4 linked regions of the Drosophila melanogaster genome follow. The protein of the gene in region 1 purifies or fractionates together with the protein of each later gene. This does not show direct contact. Each region holds a gene or a part of one and is shown in the gene's direction. Other genes may lie near its edges.

What was found.
Region 2: the proteins of Got1 (region 1) and Ccs purify together in Drosophila melanogaster (affinity purification with mass spectrometry, with the first as the bait; one large-scale study listed by BioGRID). This does not show direct contact.
Region 3: the proteins of Got1 (region 1) and Gmppb purify together in Drosophila melanogaster (affinity purification with mass spectrometry, with the first as the bait; one large-scale study listed by BioGRID). This does not show direct contact.
Region 4: the proteins of Got1 (region 1) and Wdr82 purify together in Drosophila melanogaster (affinity purification with mass spectrometry, with the first as the bait; one large-scale study listed by BioGRID). This does not show direct contact.

Annotation. Positions count from the first base shown.
Region 1 is NT_033778.4:16,136,077-16,142,683, forward strand, and holds Got1 (glutamate oxaloacetate transaminase 1), read left to right. Parts: upstream 1-2,275; 5' UTR 2,276-2,308; coding exon 2,309-2,362; intron 2,363-2,602; exon of another isoform or gene 2,603-2,690; coding exon 2,691-2,808; intron 2,809-4,253; coding exon 4,254-4,361; intron 4,362-4,423; coding exon 4,424-4,497; intron 4,498-4,557; coding exon 4,558-5,517; 3' UTR 5,518-5,852; downstream 5,853-6,607. Other genes in the region: spin (spinster), read left to right, coding at 1-49, 111-284, 349-490, 758-882; CG30094 (uncharacterized protein), read left to right, coding at 6,212-6,218, 6,278-6,607.
Region 2 is NT_033778.4:10,120,649-10,124,540, reverse strand, and holds Ccs (copper chaperone for superoxide dismutase), read left to right. Parts: upstream 1-1,966; 5' UTR 1,967-2,016; coding exon 2,017-2,031; intron 2,032-2,082; coding exon 2,083-2,726; intron 2,727-2,787; coding exon 2,788-2,923; 3' UTR 2,924-2,968; downstream 2,969-3,892. Other genes in the region: dmpd (dampened), read right to left, coding at 3,515-3,892.
Region 3 is NT_033777.3:4,808,960-4,816,312, forward strand, and holds Gmppb (GDP-mannose pyrophosphorylase B), read left to right. Parts: upstream 1-2,484; 5' UTR 2,485-3,267; intron 3,268-4,300; 5' UTR 4,301-4,649; intron 4,650-4,679; exon of another isoform or gene 4,680-4,711; 5' UTR 4,712-4,843; coding exon 4,844-5,017; intron 5,018-5,279; coding exon 5,280-5,814; intron 5,815-6,327; coding exon 6,328-6,728; 3' UTR 6,729-6,853; downstream 6,854-7,353. Other genes in the region: Hus1-like, read right to left, coding at 1-300. UniProt on the Drosophila melanogaster protein: Catalytic subunit of the GMPPA-GMPPB mannose-1-phosphate guanylyltransferase complex. Catalyzes the formation of GDP-mannose, an essential precursor of glycan moieties of glycoproteins and glycolipids. Can catalyze the reverse reaction in vitro.
Region 4 is NT_033779.5:8,372,141-8,376,346, forward strand, and holds Wdr82 (WD repeat domain 82), read left to right. Parts: upstream 1-2,320; 5' UTR 2,321-2,386; coding exon 2,387-3,340; 3' UTR 3,341-3,409; downstream 3,410-4,206. Other genes in the region: CG17292 (uncharacterized protein), read left to right, coding at 458-485, 547-613, 741-1,148, 1,400-1,774, 1,844-1,988; CG13390 (uncharacterized protein), read right to left, coding at 3,422-4,206. UniProt on the Drosophila melanogaster protein: Component of the SET1 complex that specifically di- and trimethylates 'Lys-4' of histone H3.

The DNA of each region.
Region 1 (6,607 bases):
CATCTCACACGCACTCGGTGATGCCGGCAGTCCGTATTTGGTTGGAGCAGTAAGTACACAAAAGAATTTCTATACTACAGTAGTAGTTACTAACTACACCATTTCGATAGATCTCCGAGGCCATCATGAAACACCTGCACAAGAACCCCAGCGACTCTGGACTGACCACCGAGCTGCGAAGCATGTCCCAAGTGGCAGGTTCCGCGATCAGTAATGCCACCCAGGTGATCGCGGAAGCCACCACCAGTTTGATGGAAACAGCACGCTCGTCAGCCTCTCAGGAAGTAGGTGGAATCCACTTAAACTTAGAGTTCACTCTGACTAACTCCCTGGTTTTGCTTATTTTAGTACTCTGATGTGGAGCAATTCGAGGGACTGCAATATGCGCTCTTCTCCACCAGTTTTGTGGAGGTGCTGGGCGGCATTTTCTTCATATTCACCGCCTGCTTTATCATCAAAGACAAGTACAATGCCACACGAGGACTGCAAGGTAAGCTGAATGGGTTGGATTCAGATCTAAATGCCCCTTTCTCAACTATCTATTAGCTTTCTGATTAAAAAGTAACCGAAAAAGTTTGAGCAAATGTAATTTGTTTAAAGAAAGGTCTATAGACTAGATTTTAAGCTAAAATGTATATAGAGAAGACTTTACACCCCTCTTTTAAAGTTAATTGTTAGAACAATGGATACTTTTTAATCAGAAGGTGTCTTATTTGCCCACTCTTTGGCTCAACTGTCTTCCGTTTGATATTGCCAGGCGATCAGGGAGCGCAGGCGGTTCGATCGTCAGTCGCCTTGGCCAGCGGGCAAAAGGACGTCGAGTCCTTCAACTCGGACTGCCTGGTCCTTTGCACTGACATCGCGCTGCGCGAACGCACGTGATAGCTAAAAATATGAAATATGCATTCTGGTGCGCGGCACCAAATGATTACTTTATTTTGGCCCAGTTCCCGGTAGGTGGAATGCTCTAAATTTCGTTAAAACGTTCAGTTCTGCGTGCGTTCCATTGTTGCGTTGTACTAATCTCAGTTACTTGACCCTAATCCATACCCTGTTCTTCATGGCTTTCTGTGTGCTTTGCTTGGCGGAACAAGTTTCTAATGAATGTGTATTAATTGTACCTTTTAGATGCCACGGCTCAGCAACAGCAGCGGGATGAGCGCGGTCAGATTGCCTAATACCAGCCGATTCTGGAGGTTATGCTGCGCACTCAGAGCTCCGATGGCATGCCGGGTGAACTGATACTGACTGAAAACCATCTTTAATTTAATTTACGGTCACTCGCACCACGCACATCCCGCATCGGATCGTACTGGAAGCTTACGGGGACGGGGACACCTTGCTCAGTTGGGCGGACAAGTTCCCGATGTTCATGTTCCTATTGGAAGGGATCGGAGGAAGGAGGAAAATGGGGGAAAGGACCACCATGCCAACACGTTCAAGCACGCCACACCGATTTGTAGATATATATACAAACAAAATCAAAAACTCTCACCCAGGCACTCACTCACTCACCAAGTCATAACATAACACAGATCATTTTACTTGTAAACGTCAAAGGTCTTGGGTACCCAGGATACCTTGCTTCACCCACGTAGTCGTAGATAGGTCTAGCTCTGGTATTTTAGACTAAATCAAAATTAGCAAGAGTTTCAAGCGGACTCGCATTCGAAGAAGTGCTCCCTCAGATCGGATAATGTAAATAGATTATCTCAGGCATCGAATGCGTAGGTCGTGCAGTTTGGATATTTATATTAACGAATGTATATTTAATATGAATTGTAAATATAGATAAGCACCGGGCCATTGTATAAGTGCGTAGTCTATTTAATCAATTTTATCATAACGCCTTAGTTTTACACTGAACATAATTTTAATCATAGCCTTAGTTAGTTGTGTAACGAATTGGAGAAATGTGTGCACCCTCAGCAATTACTGAATATTACAGCAAAACTATTTTGAACCAAAACCAACACCAATCAGTCCTCGAGTTTGCTTTTCTATTTGTTGAATCTCAATCGAATGCTAGCCTAATTGGAACGCAAATTGAAAGCGACATAAAGACTGCGAGCAATCAAATATTGGTCCATCGATATTTGGCTAAGAATAAACCAAACTAATTGTTTAGCAAATAAGGTAATCATCCGGGGCAATAAAGAAACATTTTAAATCACTTTCCTCGATTGCGTTTAATTTTTCTGGGACCGAAAATTTTTTTAAACTGGCCTTGATATTTTCGTTTTGAGTTATTTGTTATTTTACTCCTTCTGAGATTGTTGCTTCAAAATTTCAAGCAAAACTGGCGAAAATGTTTATTATCTTAAAACGACTTAATTATCCCGGTTTATTACAAAACTTCCAGGTAGGAACAGCTCTTTGAAGTCAGTGCACTAGCCCCGAAACATGAAAATCGAATTTTTCTGAAAATACCTTTTATTTAGCCATAAACGCCTGCAAAATATAAAAATTCAATTAAAATTCATGCAATCAGAAGACATTTTTTCGAATTTCCGTGTCATAATTTTTTTCAGTAATTTTTTAGTATAAATATCGATAATTTCATCGACTGAGCTTTTGTGGGCCAATTTGATTTAGACAAGTGCAGCCACACTACTTTTGGCCGTCTTTGCCGACACTATTCCAAATTAATTTATTTGTTATTGTCGCTCCGTTTGGACTTGTTTCCCAAGCTATCCACGATGTCCATCTACGCCGACGTTCCAAAAGGACCCGCCATCGAGGTCTTCGCCCTGACGCAGGCCTTCAAGGACGACAGCAATCCCAACAAGGTCAATTTGTCGGTGGGCGGTAAGTTCTAAAGTTCTATTTTCTCACCCCACCCCCCTCCTCTAACAGAATGAAGTGCATACCTATGTATGTGCATATGTTTATAAAAAGTATATGTGTATTACTTAGCCGGCTGTATTTGTGTGCGGCTCAATTTGCTATCATTTGCTAGTTGGCTTGCCCTTGCAATTCGCCACCCCCCGCACCGCTGGAACGCCCGTTTCCGTTTGCCACCCAACAGGCCACTCTGCTGGAGGTCATTTGGATGTCAATGTCGCAATGTATGAATTGCACAGATTTTTCCATCCTTCTTGCTTTCCAATTAGTTGGCTTATAACCAATTGTGGATTTTGTGTGTGTGTAAACAATTTCAAATACTCTATATGGTTAAATATTACAACCTATTTCTTAATTACTTAGTTACATATTTTGCTTATTCCATTTTGTTTCAGCTTCTCAATAATATTTAAACTCAATGTTTGCTTAAATTAGCAGCTCAAAACGTAGTATTTTAAAGCTCCGATTGTAAATATCAATCTAATTTTTTTTAGTAGTGAATTTCTTTTGCGACTTTCTTTGTTCTATATTTTCCTCTGACGTCAGCTAACACCGTATTTATTTATTGCCTATGTATGTTTTTGTGTGGCGGATGATGATAAGCCACTTGTTTTTGGCAGGTACACCACGTCCATCCATTTCCTCCAATACAATACATTCAGCCAGCGAAAATTTGAAGGAACGACAACAACAATATTGCCGCCGGGTCGTTCAAGAGCAATTTTGCTTCACCTTTTCTATATTTATGAATGTTATTGCATAATTTAAATAACAATTCCCACCAGCAGAGTCGCCGATTATTGTATTTTTGTTTTGCTCGCAAAGCCAAGAGTCATTAACCCTTGCTCGTGTAAATGATTATGCCAATTTATTCGACGTATTTTGGTTTTAATAGCATTAGAATTAATAAATATGTATATTCAATGCCAAAATCAGCTGATTTACAAAAGGTATCTTTAAACTAAACTTATATCGAATCATGGTATTTTATTACCATATTAACTCAAGCAAATGGATGTTTTAATGAGCTTAATTATTCATTCTTCTCATTTCCGTCAATTTATTGTCGTTATGGCTTGTTTATCGCGCCTTCGCTTTTATTTACAATGCTGCAAAAGTATAAACATTACCAGACCAATTCATTCAATTGGTTTCGTATAACACGACGCCAGTGCTTTTCAGTTGCTCCAATAAATAAATAAATTGGCCTAGAAACAACGCATGAAAACAATATCAAATGGCCTATAGCAATGAGGATTGATTAGGCTTGTTAAGAGCATTCAGATAAGACTTGAATATTGTACGGATTTTAGCACTTTGACCCATGTATTTCCCTAAACACTTGAGCAATCAGTGGACTTCGAATAAATTGGTTTACTCATTTGATCTTTGGTTTCGTTCATTCACAGCTTACAGGACAGATGCTGGAGTTCCTTGGGTTTTGCCTGTGGTGCGCAAGACGGAAATCAGCATTGCCAGCGATGAGCAGGTTAACCACGAGTATTTGCCAGTGACTGGTGAGTAAATGCAATGCATTTCATCAAAGTAATTTAATTAACCCAATGATTCTGTTTTGCAGGACTCGAAACATTCACCAATGCGGCCACTGAATTGGTTCTGGGTGCCGATTCCCCAGCCATCAAGGAGAATCGCGTAAGTTGGGGCTCAACCTAAAAATATGTACTCTTTTATTAGACTGCAATTTTCTTGTAGGCCTTTGGAGTGCAGACCATTTCGGGCACGGGTGCCCTGCGCGTTGCCGCCGATTTCCTGCACACACAACTGAATCGCAATGTGGTTTACTACTCGAACCCCACCTGGGAGAATCACCACAAGATCTTTTGCGATGCCGGCTTTACGACCGTTAAATCGTACCGCTACTGGGACCAAAATAAACGCGAGTTGGACTTCAAGAACATGCTGGCCGATCTGAACGATGCTCCGCCCGGTGCTGTGATCATTCTGCACGCCTGTGCCCACAATCCCACCGGCATTGATCCCACCCAGGAGCAGTGGACTGAGCTGGCCGATCTGATGGAGAAGAAGAAGTTGTTCCCGCTGTTCGACTCGGCTTACCAGGGCTTTGCCAGTGGTGATCCCGATCGCGATGCCTGGGCCGCTAGGTACTTCGTGCAGCGTGGCTTCGAGCTCTTCATCTGCCAGTCGTTCGCCAAGAACTTTGGCCTCTACTGCGAACGTACCGGCAATCTGGCTGTGGTGCAAAAGAATGGTGCTACCAAGGCAGCGGTTCACTCTCAGCTGACGCTGCTCATTCGTGGACAGTACTCGAATCCGCCCGCGTATGGAGCTCGCATCGTTTCCAAAGTCCTAAACACACCGGAGTTGCGCAAGGAGTGGATGGCCTCCATCCAGGCAATGTCGAGCCGCATCCGCGAGATGCGTACAGCTTTGCGGGACAAGCTGGTTGCCTTGGGCACCCCCGGCACCTGGGATCACATTGTCAACCAGATCGGCATGTTCTCCTACACCGGTCTGAACGAGAGCCATGTTCGTGTGCTGATCGACCAGTACCACATTTACCTGCTGAAGACGGGACGCATCAGCATGAGTGGCCTGAATAAGGGCAACGTTGAATATGTGGCCAAGGCGATCCATGCCGCTGTCACCGGATCAGGAGAAAGTGCATCATGTCCTTGCGAAAACAAATTGTAATCGTACCATTGGATCGCACCATTGGATAGATACGTACAACGACTAGCTATGTACATATATTGGGCATGCGATTTAGAAATCCCAAAGCTGGATCACAGATGTCTGCACCATTGGCATTTAAATCAAACCAACAACAATTGCAATTACTAAACGTTTATACGCGGCTTTTAGATGGATATACACATATTATACACCGGAAACGAATGTTCCACATTAAAGTAAAAACTTTACAAAAATTACGCACTATTGAAAGCCGTCGAAGATTGGTTAAATAATTTAAGCTTACAACGTTTATTGACCTGTGTGTAGTAACTAAATAAATCGACAATATCATTACTGAAGTATTTAATCTTTGGTGGGTGTGTAATTCTTTTTGTGGATCGTATTGAAGTGGGAAAATAATTGACATTGAAAACATGTTTTTAAAGTTAGCCAGTTGTATTCTTATATATTTTCCATAACACTACAACATACTTTAAATAGCTTAGAAACATTTTTAAATTAAGTACCTAAATGATTAAAAAATAAACTTTTGAAAATAACATTCATCTGCATGCACTGCTTGACGTCAATCGATCTATCGATTAACAGTCAGCTGTTTACGTCTTGCAACTTTCACCTCTAGGCTTGAAATGTAAATTTAACGAAATTAGCAAAACATCATAAATATTAGTCGAATTTTAGATATTTTTCAATGGCAGGTGCGAATTGTCTCAAGAAATGTTTAAGTTTTGGTCATTAATGAAATGATTTTCTGCAGACGATCCAAACAAGCCCTCTACCTCGTCGAAAACTGAAGATGCTCCGCTGTTCCCGCCCGCAAAACCAGGAAAAAGAGTTGACTATGGGACAAACAACACATTGGAGCTACTGGAGCGGATTCCCAGCCAGGTGGTGGATCTCAAGCTGGACGATGTGCTGACAGCCGTCAAGGAAGTGGATAACCTCTGCGACTATCCGCGCTGCAAGACCAAAACCAGCCTGATGGGCCAAGACTGCCAGCATTGCAAGAAGAGATTCTGCTTCAAGCACGGACTGCCAGAGGTGCACGGGTGTGGCGAGGAGATCAAGCGGGACGAGCGCAAGAAGT
Region 2 (3,892 bases), 6.0 Mb from region 1:
GCACGCACACTCAAAGACGCAAAGGCGAAAAGACCGAGATGAAAAAAGATTTCGGGGTCTCGCTTGTTACGCGCTTAGTAAGCTTTTCCGCTCGCTATAAACACTAGAAAAAGCGTCAACGTGTTAAAATTTTCTGCTGCCGTTGTTGTTGCTTTGCCGACGATGCTGTTGTTGTTACTCAGATTAGTTTACACTCCCGCACTAAATCGCTGAACATGTGTTTTAACGCCGATGGTACGAAAAATACTGATTTGGTGAGCGAACGTCACAAAGCTAATATTAAAATAAATACACTAGCCCGTTATGTTTCTCTCTCTCTTCGCTCTCTCACTCTCGCTCCAAAAGAGCGTGGCGTTCGACCCGCAAATACAAATACCAATACCAAAGCCCCACTGTAAGGGTCATTCTGTGCACGTGTGTGTGTGCGTGCGTCTTTGTGGAATGCAAGTGAAACAAAGGCAAGGCTAATTTTCCGTGGCACGCACTATCCAGACCAACTTATCTATCTACATTCCCGACACACGTATCCTTCCAGGTGATTGTTTCAGAGGCTGACTTGCATTTGTTGCTCTCTCACAAAACAAGGCGACAAAAATCTTTATGCTATTTATCAACAAGAACAGCTGTTGCCATTAGTCGCTGCCCCAAAGAGAACATTGCCTTTTTGTGTGGGCGTTCTTCTCTTCAGAGTGGCTCAGGGCGTATGGCGTCGATCTGTCGTTAGGGTGGACCATCTCAGACTTGTAAAAATTATTACGGATCTGCGGAACTAACTCAACTTATATATAAGTTAATACAAACATTAAATAATATTACTAATGTGAATAGCCACATAACCATTGGGAAAGAAACTAAATTTCTTACATTCCTAGTGTTGAACTTAAGGTCTAGTAACGGTACTCTAATAGCGACTAATTGTTATCCACCGATATCATTCATCTCTATCCCTAGATCGACGTGCTAAGAAAGGCCTTAATTGACAAAGCCATGTGCCGACTCGCCAAATTTTTGGGAATTGAACGGTTTTATCATAATTCTTTGTTGTAGTGCTTCCTTTTACAGTTCTTCAATTGAAGGCAATATTAAATATTTCTCAATTGTTTTTAAATTGCTATCAATAACGGGGTCCAAGTGAAATTAATTTATTTTGCACAATGAAAGTCAAGGCGCAATTGGCTGCAATAAAGTGGCGCGCATGGAAAAGCTTCATTCATATTGGTTGCACGTTTTTTTTTTGGGCCTCAATAAGCCAGCATCTGTCGCTTGCGGTTTTTGTAGACAAAAATTAGCGCTATCAATTCCAAAAAATTAGCATCATTTGGCTTAAAAATACTCTTTATGGCCATTGATTAAAACTGTCGGCGGCCATAAAGAAAAGTTAAGCCAAAATTATAAAACGTAATATGAAGTGAATGGAGCTACAGGTCTGAAAATTAGCACGGAAATTAAATAAGTTAGCATCTAAGCTAGTTCGGGGTTAGCGTTTTGAATCGGTCCAGAAGAGTTGGACAAAGTCAGCTTAAGATTATAAAATTGTTGGTCAAACTAAACAGAAAACCAATGATTATATCCAAGGTACTTAGCCCTATTAAATTAAGCTTTAATCTATTCACTTAAAATATAGTTGTAATCTATATAAATTTCAAACATCACAAATATTATTAATATAGTCATTTTGGAAATATGGAGTGACTTAAATAGAAATACCAGAATTCATTTTCTTCATCAAAAAGCACGCAATTTATGCAAAAGTTCAAAACCGAAGCTAGTAACTTTGGTTTTGTAAATGTAAAACGTTCTACGATAAAAATATTACATCTGTGTTCTAATACGTAACTAGTAATATCAGTTCAACGTTATAATTTATTGGATAAGTGGTTTACAAACGCCTTAAACTTTCGTTCCGTGTGAACCTATCGTTCTTCGATGACAGAAGGCGCGATTTGTCTGAACCTATCGACGGCCATCGATACCAAAGTTTGTTTATCATTGTTAGTCGGCACTTTGACCATAAAAATGAGCTCCATTAAGGTAAGTATATGTTATTCGGGTCAGGAAACTTGCTTCCATGTTAATGTGCAGATCGAATTTGCAGTGCAGATGCGAAGAGGTGACGAATCCTATGCCGGTGCCCTCCGTTCGGCGCTGGATGGGGTCGGCCAGGTGGAAATTGACACCCAGGAAGGTCGAGTGATAATCCAAACCCAACGACCTTGGTCAGAGATTCAGGACAAGATAGAAGCCACAGGTGTCCGGGCCGTACTCTCCGGATTCGGCGGCCAGTCGGCGGTGGCCCTTATAAACACAACAGGAAGTGTAGTGGACAAGACACCAATCCAGGGAGTGGTTCGGTTTACCACCATTACCGCAGACAAGAAGCCTGGAGTGGTTGTGGATGGCGTTGTGGACGGTCTATCGCCTGGACTGCACGGATTACATATTCACGAGAGTGGTGACACTTCCGCAGGTTGCTCGTCGGTCGGAGAACACTACAATCCCCGCCAGTCGCCACATGGAAGCCCTGCAGCTGGGGCAGAGGAGCGGCACGCCGGAGATCTTGGCAACATCCGAGCGGATGAAAACGGCAGGGCCACCTTTAGATTTGTGGATCCAGTGCTAGAGGTCTGGGACATAATCGGAAGGGCTGTCGTCCTAACAGCCAATGCCGATGACCTGGGACGCGGGGGCAATGATCAGAGCCTGATTGACGGCAACTCTGGGGAAAGGTATGTAAATATGCCCCACTTTCAGATTGATCATTGATTTGTATAACTCCTTTCCCACTAGGATTGCGTGTGGTATAATTGCTCGTTCGGCGGGCATCTTGGAAAACTTTAAGAGAATCTGTGCATGTGATGGGGTCACACTTTGGGATGAACGCAATAAGCCACTGGCTGGCAAGGAGCGCTCACAAAAGCTGTAAACTTGTTTCCATCTTTAATCTTGTAAATAAAATTATCTTATCTCTAGGTGTCACTTTCCACATTTTGTTCTAGAAGTTTCTGTCGCGACAAAGTCCACAGAACATCAATTCTCGTTCCGCAATTAAAATTAGTATACTAAAAACCACATTCGTAGCAGTTGATTTTAATGGTTTTAAAGTTTTATTTAAAATATTTCTTTGCTGTTTTTCTTTTTGTATTTCTTAGTTAAAATTAATTTGCTTTTTAATTATTATTATCTGTTTTGCTCTGCCAATGACTGCCGGATTCGTGTGATGTTCGTGGTTAACTACAATTTGTTTTTGCGGGGCGTTAAAACCGAAGAACATACAGACACTTGTTGTACGTGATAATAATAATAATAATAATGAATAATATTCGAAATGCCTATTGCATTTGATATTAATAGATATATGTGTATATAATATTAATTTGATTCCTCCGTTAACACTACGGCGCATGCCTCGTTCCCTAATCCACATCCGTGGGGTCAGGTGAACGACGGCATGCACGCTTTATATGTAAATAAGTGGTAAAAAATATGTAAAGTGTATATGCGTAGGTCCTAATGCTTATTTACTGCGTTTGCCGGGCGTATTTACATATCTGTTGGCCTTTTGTACTCTACGTGCTTTTTTCGCCTCCTCCGGCTCCTCAAGAGCCTCCGATCCGGGCGCCACATTGTCCGTTGTCGCAGCCACCCCCAGATTCTGGGACACAGGACTGACAATCACGCCGCTTCGCTGATGATTGCCATAAAACAGTTTTGGGGAGTAGCCTCCCGCAGCTTTGGCAGCTCCTGCATTTCCGGTGGCCATCGGCTGCGATTGGGACTGGGCAACCTCTGCTGCCTTCGAGGTGGACGCTATGGCATTGGACTGGCTCTCTGATGGCATCTTGCGCTTAAGATTCTTGGCTGCTGTGCTCACGGCCAGCAACTTGGCCGTGGT
Region 3 (7,353 bases), on another chromosome or scaffold:
GCCTCCACCACGAAGCACAGATAAAGCTCTTCCGAGATTCGCCGAAGACACGCCTAGAACTATGTACTCCTGATCCGGGTGAGCAGCCTCCATGCGATACTCCGGAAAATACTCCTCAGCTGTAATTCCTGCCCAAACCAAGGGCGATGCAGCGGAGCTCTGATCCTCGTTCACGATAAAATGCATCTGCCGAGAGCCCAGAATCATCACACAATCTTTCGCCAGCTTGGTTAAAGTGGCCACAATGGCCTGGAACTCTTTCATGTACAGCGGATCCTGCATCAGTGCGCGGAACTTCATCTTGTCAGCAAAGAACTGTACAAGATCAGAGCAGGATCGTAATGATCAGGAAATAAAGGGAGAAAAAAGAACAAAAAACAGAGTCAAGCCGGGCAACCAAAAACTAAAAAGGCATCCAAATCTACGCAGCGTTCCCTTAGGGTTGCCGTTCGCTAAATCTCAAATATTATACAAAATAGTTTTCATTTTCCATATAACCATAGCGCTGAGACTGAAATCTGGGCTATCCAATAACTGTAGAATTCGCAATTGTTAAAAATGCAACAATGCATAATGGTCATTGCAATATTTTGATTTATTATAAAAATCGATTTGTATGGAACAGGGGAAAAAGAGCTAACCCAAGCTCAATATTTCAGATGTTCAACAGTTTATAGTACACCCTAATTCAGAGGAATTGCATTAAATGCCATTTGTTAGCACTAATCCTATTTGAGACGACCCAATCAGTCAGTTGATATTTCGAATAAACTGTTTTGCCATTCTCGTAATATTTCATTCTTAGGAATTACACGGATTATTTATTTTTTGATCGGAGTCATTTACGTCCCACTCACTTAACATTTTAGGTAAGTCTTGGATCTGGGATGGACGTCATCTGGGTCAGCAGACGAAGCAACCTGATCAAAGGGTTCTAAGTTGGGATGAAGACGACGAATACGAGACGACTTCGGGACCCCTTTTCGGGTGGTTAATGAGGTGTGTGGACTACGGCACCAGAGGGAGGGGATGGGTCGGTTATCCGACTTGGTCTCCACTCGTTCTCACTCTTTTCTTTTCTTCTCGAGTTCGAATTTTTGAGTTCAATGTACAAAGGCGCACACACACACGGGCGCCAGCGAACCCACACACACAGCACACTCGCTCGTCCATCGCACATACACACGGCGAATGATGAAAACGGAAGAGGGAGGGGGAAGGGAAAGAAGAGCCAGGCAAACAAAGCGCAGAGCGAGTTCCGAGTTGTGTTTTGGCTCTTCTTTTCATTTATTTATTTGTATTTTTGTTGGTGGGCGAAGCGGTGAGCAGAGAGCAGGCTAAACGAAACGGAGCTCGACGAAATGAAGCACGCAGTCAGATACAAAGACTGCCTCGTTCTCCTTGCACACAAAGTCATCAAACGACAGACAGGATTTGTACGGCTCAAGTGTAGGGGCGGCTCCAGGGTTGGCTCCCGGGGCGGGGAGGGTGTTGCCAGGGGGCTCCGGGGGCGGAAATCAAATTATATCCCGTCTAGGGGGTCAAAATATTTCCTTTCGCAGTTCAATCAACCTTCAAGGTTATTGATAATGAAAATGAGCTCAAACGTTTATGCGTGGCAGAGTGGTTAGTGGATAACAAGAAATTTGGCAGTACCTCAGCGATTTTCCATTTGCTTTTAAGAGTTCTTTCAGAAATGAACTGGTACTTACCATATTTTGTTCTTTCCATACACATGGGTTGTTTGAGTTGCTGTATAAGTTGACAAAGCTAGTAATACTATGGCATCAGGAATGAAGGAAGCATACAAAAACTGATGTAATAATCCCTAAAATTCAGAAAAAGTACGTCACTGAGTTCTCCGGGTTGAGTTTTGTTCAGTGCAATGAGGGCTATTTTATGACATTTAGTAGGCCTTTTAGGAAGGGCAACTCTAGCTCGCACGACAGTGCTGCCTATTTGGCAATCAGCTGTTTATTTTTTCTCTTTAAAAATTGACCTATGACGTCACAGCAGCATAGCGAATTTCACAAAGAAGCGAAAAAAAATAATGGCTACACAAATATGTATATATATGTATCTGCTTTCTTGCTGAAACCCTCGCGTCATTGAAACGTATCTAAACGTATGTATCTATGTACATATGTACGTTAACAATTAAATATTAAAATTCAAACAAATGCTGGAGAGGGGAGGAAAGAATATTAAAGTGCTGAAAAGAGGCCAAAAATTGATCAGAAAATAAATATGCTGAGAATAAGAAACGTGATTGCCTTGCAGTCTCACTCACTAACTCACACACACTCACTCTAAATACATACATACATGCTAGCATGGATGGAGCACCACCCGCTGAAGTTTGCAGCATAAATAAAAGAGAAAGTAAAACTAAACAAGATGCGCTCGACCCCCACCCACCCCTTATCAAATAAAAGAAAATACCAACTCGAATAGAATAAAAAGACACACATACGTATTCATCAGTGGATAACCTACACGAAAGACGATCAAAATTGATTTGCGAGAAAATTCTATTCGTAAATTTATCAACTAACTATTTGGAAAATCATTCATTTGGAATTGTAATCACCTATGCACTTTGGTATAAGCTTTTCTGTGCACATTTTCCTGGAAAATGAATGAGACTCCTCGGCAGCCATTGTAAAAATCAATATTGGAGATTGCCCTCAGAAAAAAGTGCACTTAAACCCAGATGTCACTCAATCAAAAACTTCTAATTGGGAAAGCACAAATTTACCACACTTTTCCGAGCCTTCGAAAGGCATAAACCTTCACAAATCGGTGGGAAAAAGTAATAGAGGAAAATACAATTCGGTCGACATTTTGTTTTCCGTCTCGCTGGTGCCTATTTGAAACGTAAGCGTGTGTATGTGTGCGTATGTGTATCTCGTCTGAGCTCGGAGCCCCATAAAATCAGTGGTCAAATTACTTCTTCGTATCGCCATAGGCTCGCCTTTGCAAAGCTTTTTGGTCTCCATGGCGTCCGCAGCAGTCGCACTTACCTTTCAACCAAATGCAGAAGTTTTCTCTAAGTATGCACAGTTTTTATACACTCAGCAATTTTCACACGCGACGGAAAACAATGTGCACCAGTGAGACCGCGTCTTGCTACGAACGACTATCGACATCGAAAACCGATAACGATACCGATGGGGAATGCTTTGTTTATTTGAATGTGAACGATGCATTTGGGGCCTTCCGTTACCTTCGCCGCAGACCGCATTTGGTTTGTAGGCGATATGCATGGTAATTATAATTATAGTGATTTAATTAATTACAATTATAATTGTATTAATGTATACAGAAGTATACTTTATACATAAACTTACATTGAGTTGCGTTTTCAAGAATAAGTATTGCGAAACTTTTAAGTAAGCTATAAAAAGCTGAATTTCTACTGTACATTTTAGGATTTTCTTTTTGATATATTTTGAAATGTAGGGAATAGTCAAAACAGTAATGCCGTTGAAACCTTAGAAACCATCAACCCGTTTTGCTCTCTACAATATTATTCGGGAATGCTCCGGTAATCGAATTCGTAAGAAAATTTTAATTTGTAAAACGGCCTTTTAAAAAGTAAATGCCTTTTTTATATCAAATCAGATCTTATTAACTAAGGGGAAAAAATAGTTTGCTGGTCTATTGATATTTATTAATTGATGTTTATGTTCCACATCACCATAAGATCATTTTTAGACTTAGTTATATTAAACAAAAGTAATTTCTGACCCCACCTGAAATTTGACAAACAAAATTTTGCAGTTGGCAACAAAAAGTTTCGATTTGGCAAGTGTTCATAATTATGTCGACAAAAGCTATCAGGAAGACTGCTATACTATTGGTGAAACAATACAGTATAAACAGTATAAATGCATATAAGATGTAATGAAAAAAAATTCGTAATTAATTTAAAGGAGGGTCGAAAGTACTGTTCGTAAATAATACTATTTAATTTAATTACTTAAATGGACAAAGTGCAGTGCGAACATCGGAACTAAAACTGTGAAAAAATTGGTCGCTCCATTGTCTGGAATACAGCTTAGACATCTGTTTCCTGTTTACAAAACATTCCGATCGCAAAAATTCCGCGAAAACCCGAGCACCTAAAAACGAAGTCGAAAGATTTTGCCAAATCGTAATCGAAAAAATATTACTATTACCGGAACATGCCTGATTGTGGTCTTTAGATAGGTTATTTAATTTAAATTAAACTGAAAAGTATTTTTTAAGATTCTTCAATTTAACAAGAAATGAATTTTAATAAATTTTATTAATTTAGCGTAAAATGTTCGGTGGAATCCGGCTATCAGCGCTGCTGCGAGTGGGACGAAGCGCAATCATCGCCATCTTCCGATAGTGTTATCCCAACTTTGCCAGCTCGGTTTTTATTTACTTTCCTGTGCGGCGAGTTTACTCATAAAACAAATGATAATAAAATACACAAAGACCATATTGAATGTTCAATGACAAGATCGATATTCCTAAGCCTTGAAAACGTCCATCTAAAACTAATAGAAACTATTATTGTTTTGGGACAGGCAAGTGCATCCAACCAGAAGCACAAAGGTTCTTATCACGAAAAAAGACAATTCCAAAAACAACAACAAGGAAATAGATAGCGCAACAAGGTGAGTAAACAATAAACTAAAGACAACCAACTGAGTCACTCACTTGCCTTCGTCGATTGCAGTTGTTTGACCGCTGAAACGGAATCTCGTTGTACGGAGAAAGTCTCGAGAACTTTAAGGTGTGACGTGTCGCTCGCTTACGGACTATAGAAACCGGAGAACGGAAAGGAGGCGGAAGCGGAAGCGGAGAAGTGATGTGTGGAAATCCAGCTGTGGGAAACGGGACGAGGGCGTTGATTCTGGTCGGTGGTTATGGGACCCGGCTGCGACCCCTGACCCTCAGCACGCCCAAGCCACTGGTGGAGTTTGCCAATAAGCCGATTCTTCTCCACCAACTGGAGGCACTCGTCGATGCGGGATGTCGTCAGGTATATCCAGTTTTTTAGACTAATGACGCCCAAACTGCCCCATTGCTTAGGAGAATGGAAATATGGCACATCATTCTTAAAACAAGGTTTTTTAAACACCTTTGGATGTTTAGAAAACAGTTGATCTTGTTCCATATTGGTTGCCGTTGCCAAATTTAGGGAAGACGGTTACATAACACGCTAAGAATCAAATCAACTTCCTCTAAAAGAGATTATTCTTTTGTTTTATATTTCTAAAATAATGCATACTTCTTTCTCGCAGGTTATTTTAGCCGTCAGCTATCGAGCCGAGCAAATGGAAAAGGAGCTTAAAGTCGAAGCCAAGAAACTGGGCGTGGAATTGATCTTCTCACACGAGACGGAACCCCTGGGAACAGCTGGACCTCTGGCCCTAGCAAAAACGATTTTAGCAGCCAGCTCAGAGCCATTTTTCGTGCTCAATTCGGACGTTATATGCGATTTTCCATTTAAACAACTAGTGCAATTCCATTGTAATCACGGAAAAGAAGGCACAATTGTTGTCACAAAGGTCGAAGAACCATCCAAATACGGAGTTGTGCTGTACGATGAGAACGGCTGTATAAAAAACTTTATTGAAAAGCCACAAGAGTTCGTTAGCAATAAGATCAATGCCGGCATTTACATCTTTAATCCCTCCGTGCTTGACCGGATCGAAGTTAAGCCCACATCAATAGAGAAGGAGGTGTTCCCTGAAATGACGCAGCAACAGGAGTTGTATGCAATGGATTTAACTGGATTCTGGATGGACATCGGACAGCCAAAAGACTTCCTAACCGGTACGACAGACAGAATCACTCGTTTGCTCGCTCAATCTTGATTGCCTAATTGGTCTTATCGCTTTGAAAGCAAATGTGGATGTCGTTGTTAATTGTGCTGTGCCTTTTTACCCACCCGGCTTTCGGCTTTATCTATTATTGACATTCCTGGAACTATAGCTAATGTTTGATAGAACGATTTCTTTTTAAATGAAGTGAGGCTCATTAGGCCGATAGTGGGCGATGGGAGAAACCAAGTAGAAGAGTAAATTGTTTGTTGGGTTCATGTGGATGCGATTCACGACTTATGAATACATGTACTGGGACGATACATTGCTGTCTTACTTACTTACTTACTTACTTAACTGCATAGGATCTAAGTAACGCTCATCAAATATGCGAAGTACACTGGCAATAGTCAGTTTCTTAAATGTTTTTTGGTCACCATTGAACGTTAAAAGTGAAGGCTATTGAATGGGCTTGAACACATCGACTTTATCGCTTTACTTATTGCACCATTTTATTCCTTTTCAGGCATGTGTCTGTATCTAAGCTCGCTGCGCCAGAAGCAATCCCCCAAGCTGTACACAGGCCCTGGAGTGGTGGGCAACGTGTTGGTGGATCCCACGGCCAAAATCGGCGAGGGTTGTCGCATAGGGCCTAATGTAACCATTGGACCGGACGTGGTCATCGAGGATGGCGTGTGCATTAAGCGCTCGACCATCCTCAAAGGCGCCATCGTTCGCTCACACTCATGGCTGGACTCCTGCATTGTCGGTTGGCGTTCTACAGTTGGCCGTTGGGTTCGCATCGAAGGCATCACCGTGCTAGGCGAGGATGTAATCGTGAAGGATGAGCTCTACATTAATGGAGGCCAGGTCTTGCCCCATAAAAGCATTGCGGCCAGTGTCCCAGAACCGCAGATCATTATGTGAGGCGGTGGCCCAAATCATAAATTGTAAATACAATCTATTTTTGTTCAGTTCCGCCGTTTCGGTATTCTATAAAGGTGCCTTTTGCTGAACTGCTCTCACCTACGATTTGCAATATTGACACTATGAAAAAAAAGAATAACATTTCCAGCAGTTAGCGTTGCTAACTATTTATAAACGCCAGCTCTTTCTCCTTCCCTGGCGAAGGGGGAAAAACTGACTTATAGTTTAAGCTTAATCGCGTTAGTTGAACGTTTTTGTACTTTGATAAGCGAAGCATTAGTTATACTCCTAAAATTCTATACGTTAGTCAAATATATTACATACGTATTTAAAAAATTAAAAGATTGGGCTTTTATTATTGGGCCTCTTCCGATGGTGGGATTTAAAATGTTGTGTATTTCCTAATTTCATGATTTGATTTCATATTAAGTTCAAGTTGTTCTTTGGAATTTTACTTTCTCAATAATCTAAACATCTGTACATCGATTTTTAATTGGCTGTTTGAGTTTTGGTTTAAGCATTTCGCATTCGGCCTGGGAATTTATGTTTTCTTGGTTTTGGAATTGGTTCCTGGACTAAAGGTTGCCTAGCAACCGTTTAACCAGTGGATTTGCACCCCAACAAA
Region 4 (4,206 bases), on another chromosome or scaffold:
CATTGAATTAGTCCTCAAGTGCATAATGGGATTAGCGTTCGATTAAACTTGTTCAGCCGATAGAAGTGGATGAATAATAATGCGGAGATTTGGAATGTTCCGAAATCGGATGTTCCACCGTAGGAGCACATGAATGATGCATGGACAGGCAAAGGCTTGGACTCCCACACGGACTTTGCCGCCGTTGGGGCGGCACACTCGTGTGAATCACGATGCTTACGATGTCGCAAGGCTTTTTTTGGCCGAACTCACCATTACTATCTTATCCGAAAAAGATTGAAATTTAATTAGAGTTATCAATTTCAATGGGGGTTTAGGCCACGCCACATTAATCCGGCCAACCGAGTGCCCGGCCCAGTCTTTGCCAATCACCGCATGGGACCAGAGGATATCCGGACAATCCACTGGCCACGTAATCAATCACTTTATGGACTAATAGCCGACAGCCCACAGAAACATGCACAAGGCCATTAAAAACAAATCCAGTAAGTAAGTGTGCGAAAATGGAAAATTCCGCTAATACAATTTGGATAATTATTAAACCAGGGCTCCTCTGCGGACTCAAGAACTCCAAGGCGGATCTAACGACAGCCAAGTTTATACTATATTATGGGTAAGAACTAATATTATTATTAGTAAATATGAAGAAAAATTATACATAAAGCCATGTTATTGCACTAATATCCAAATTTCTTAAATATATTCAAGTATTCACCTATAGCATTATCTTTTATTCACAGACCCACGGTGGCAGATAGCGATATCTATGACCTAACCGATTTCCAGAGTCTTCTGGAGGACGAGCACTTGGATTTGGGCAAGAACACCGTGCTCTATTTGCACGGCTACTTGGAAGATCCGGATGTGGAGAGCATTCACGTCATAGCCGAGGCCTATCTGGAGCGAAAGGATACCAATCTTATCGTCCTAGACTGGGGTGAACTGGCCGATGGCAATTACATGTTCGATGCCTTCCCGAACCTCAAACAGCTGGGCCCAGAGTTGGCCAAGGTCCTGCTCAAAATGTTCGACCATGGCCTGGACATTGAGAAGTTCCACATTGTCGGACACTCGATGGGCGGCCAGCTGGCCGGACTCCTCGGCCGAGAGATTACTAAACGCACCAAGGGTGTCAGAAAGATAAAAAGGTAAAATGAAAGAGGTTTGATTTCAAATTATTTATTCATGCTCGGTTCGATTTTAGTCTATGCCGACGTCATGATATACGATGTTTAATATACGATATTTAGTTAATAATTTTAATGTCCAAAGCTTAACACTTTTGTATTACCATATGGTAATACAAAAAGTTTTTTTTTAGAATCGTTGTTCGGCAAAGTTTATAAAGTTTATATTGAATCCTTTTCTTGTCTCACTTATCTCCAATCTTCTTTTATAGAATTTCCGCTTTGGATCCCGCATTTCCGCTCTTCTATCCGGGCACGCACCTGTCTGCCAATGATGCGGAGTTCGTCGACGTGATACACACGGACGCCTGGCTGTACGGAGCTCCGACGAGCACGGGCACGGCGGATTTCTGGCCAAATGGTGGATACAGCCTGCAGCCTGGCTGTCCCAAGCGAAACTACAAGATGCTCAGCGACAACGATCTGTCCAGTCATCGGAGGAGCTGGTGGTTCTGGGCCGAGAGCGTTTCGGATCGATATCCCATTGGATTCGATGCTGTGCCCGCCAAGAAATGGTCGGACTTCAAGCAGAACAAAATAGTAGAGAATTGCCCGCCCGTGGTGATGGGTCATCATTGTCCCACGACGTAAGTTTCTACTTGCCTTATATGCATAGCGCAGAATTTAGTTTCATCATTTGAAATTGTGATTTTCAGAATTCATGGCGACTTTTACTTACAAACCAACGGACATACACCTTTTGCTCGAGGCAAGGAGGGCACTGTCTACGTTGACCCCAAGGATCTGCTGGGAAATACCCACAGCATCACCTGTGACTGCCCGTCGGAGAAAACGAATTAATAAGACCATCTACAATTGCACTGTGTACATTATGAAATGTAGCTATATTAATATTGTTGTTTCTATGACGCCTTACACCACATTTTGATTTACGAGAAAAATATACTTAAATTTTGTTGTTGAAAAAAACTTTGCATTACTTTGGGGTATTTATACATTATTATTGCACTATTTGGGGTTTTAAATGAGTTTTATTAATTACTTTTTTTGAATGGATTTTTTGAACTTTCAAATAATTTAAATCTGGTTGCTGGTTCCGCTCTTGCAATTCATTCCGGAACCAGTTCGAAAGTTGCGATATCGATAACACAGCTATCGACCCGTCAACCTCTGCCACCGATAACATTGTTTGCAACAATTGAGCATATTGACAACAAAACGAAATTCGACAGGCTAAAATGAAGATAAAACTAATAGATTCGGTGGTGCGCAGTTTTAAGGTGGCCAAGATCTTCCGAGAGAACACGGACAAGATCAACGCCATCGATTTTGCGCCCAACGGCGAACATCTAATATCCTGCAGCGAGGATGACCAGATCGTGATCTACGACTGCGAAAAGGGGACGCAGTCGCGCACGGTGAACTCGAAGAAGTATGGAGTGGATTTAATCCACTTTACGCACGCCAACAACACGGCCATCCATAGCTCCACCAAGGTGGACGACACCATACGCTATCTCAGCCTGCACGACAACAAATATCTGCGCTACTTCCCCGGCCACACCAAGAAGGTTATCTCGCTGTGCATTTCGCCGGTGGAGGACACCTTTCTCTCCGGCTCGCTGGACAAGACGCTGCGCCTGTGGGACTTGCGCTCGCCCAACTGCCAGGGACTGATGCATCTCTCTGGACGACCCATTGCTGCCTACGATCCCGAGGGCTTGATCTTCGCCGCTGGCGTTAACTCGGAAAGCATTAAATTGTACGACCTTCGCTCTTTCGACAAAGGCCCCTTCGTCACATTTAAACTTAATCAGGAGAAGGAATGCGACTGGACTGGCCTTAAGTTCTCCCGTGACGGCAAAACAATTCTGATCAGCACGAATGGATCGGTCATCCGGCTCGTAGATGCCTTCCACGGCACTCCGCTACAAACGTTCACGGGCTATCCAAACAACAAGGGCATTCCCATCGAGGCAAGCTTCAGCCCAGACTCGCAGTTCATCTTTTCAGGCAGCACCGATGGACGAGTGCACATCTGGAATGCCGACACTGGCAATAAGGTGTCCGTACTGAATGGTGACCATCCGGGACCGGTGCAATGCGTTCAGTTCAATCCAAAATACATGATGCTGGCGTCCGCGTGCACCAACATGGCTTTTTGGCTGCCCACATCCGAGGAGGGCTTGTAGGCAATGATTCCCGCTTGCTTAGCTTATAAGATTACAATTTAATTTATAAATAATAAATCAACATAACATAAACAGAGGCCTCTAACTGGATTCCTGGGGCTGGTCCTTGTGGCGGTCGTATCCTCTACGTATGCTGTTCAGGAGTTGTCCAAGATTATGACCCATTTTGGCACTAATGCCGAGCACGGGATTTTGCAGGCGACGTTGCAGTTCCTCAAAGTTGTTTTGGCCCTCTTCCACGTCCAGCTTATTGGCCACCACCAATTGCGGGCGACTCGCCAGACGTCCGCCAAACTGGCGGAGTTCGTGCATTAGCTGCTCATAGTGCGTCCATGGCTCCGGTGCACTGGCATCTAACACGAACAGCAACAAGGTGCAACGCTCGGCGTGCTTTAGGAACTGTATGCCCAAGCCCTTATTGCGATGAGCATCGGGCACGAGTCCGGGAAGATCGGCAATGGTGAGCTGGACATGATCATCGTACTGGACGGTTCCCAAGTGCGGACGCAGCGTGGTGAAGGCGTAGGGAGCAACCTTTGGCTTGGCCCGTGTCAGTGCATTCAGTAGGGTGCTTTTGCCAGCATTGGGGTAACCAATCAAACCCACATCCGCCATGCTGCGCAGTTCCAGAGTGTATGATAGATCTTCACCCCTAGGACCGTATTCGCTGACCTTGGGACTTGTTTCCTTGTCCGTGGTAAAGAAACGGTTGCCCTTGCCACCGGCTCCTCCTCGAGCGGCCACAAACATAAGATCCGCTTGTCCCAGATCCCCGACAATTTGACCTTGCGCATTCCTGATCACCGTCCCGATTGGAACCTTGATCACAGAATGCTTGGCGTTCTTGCCATGACAATCCTTGGAGC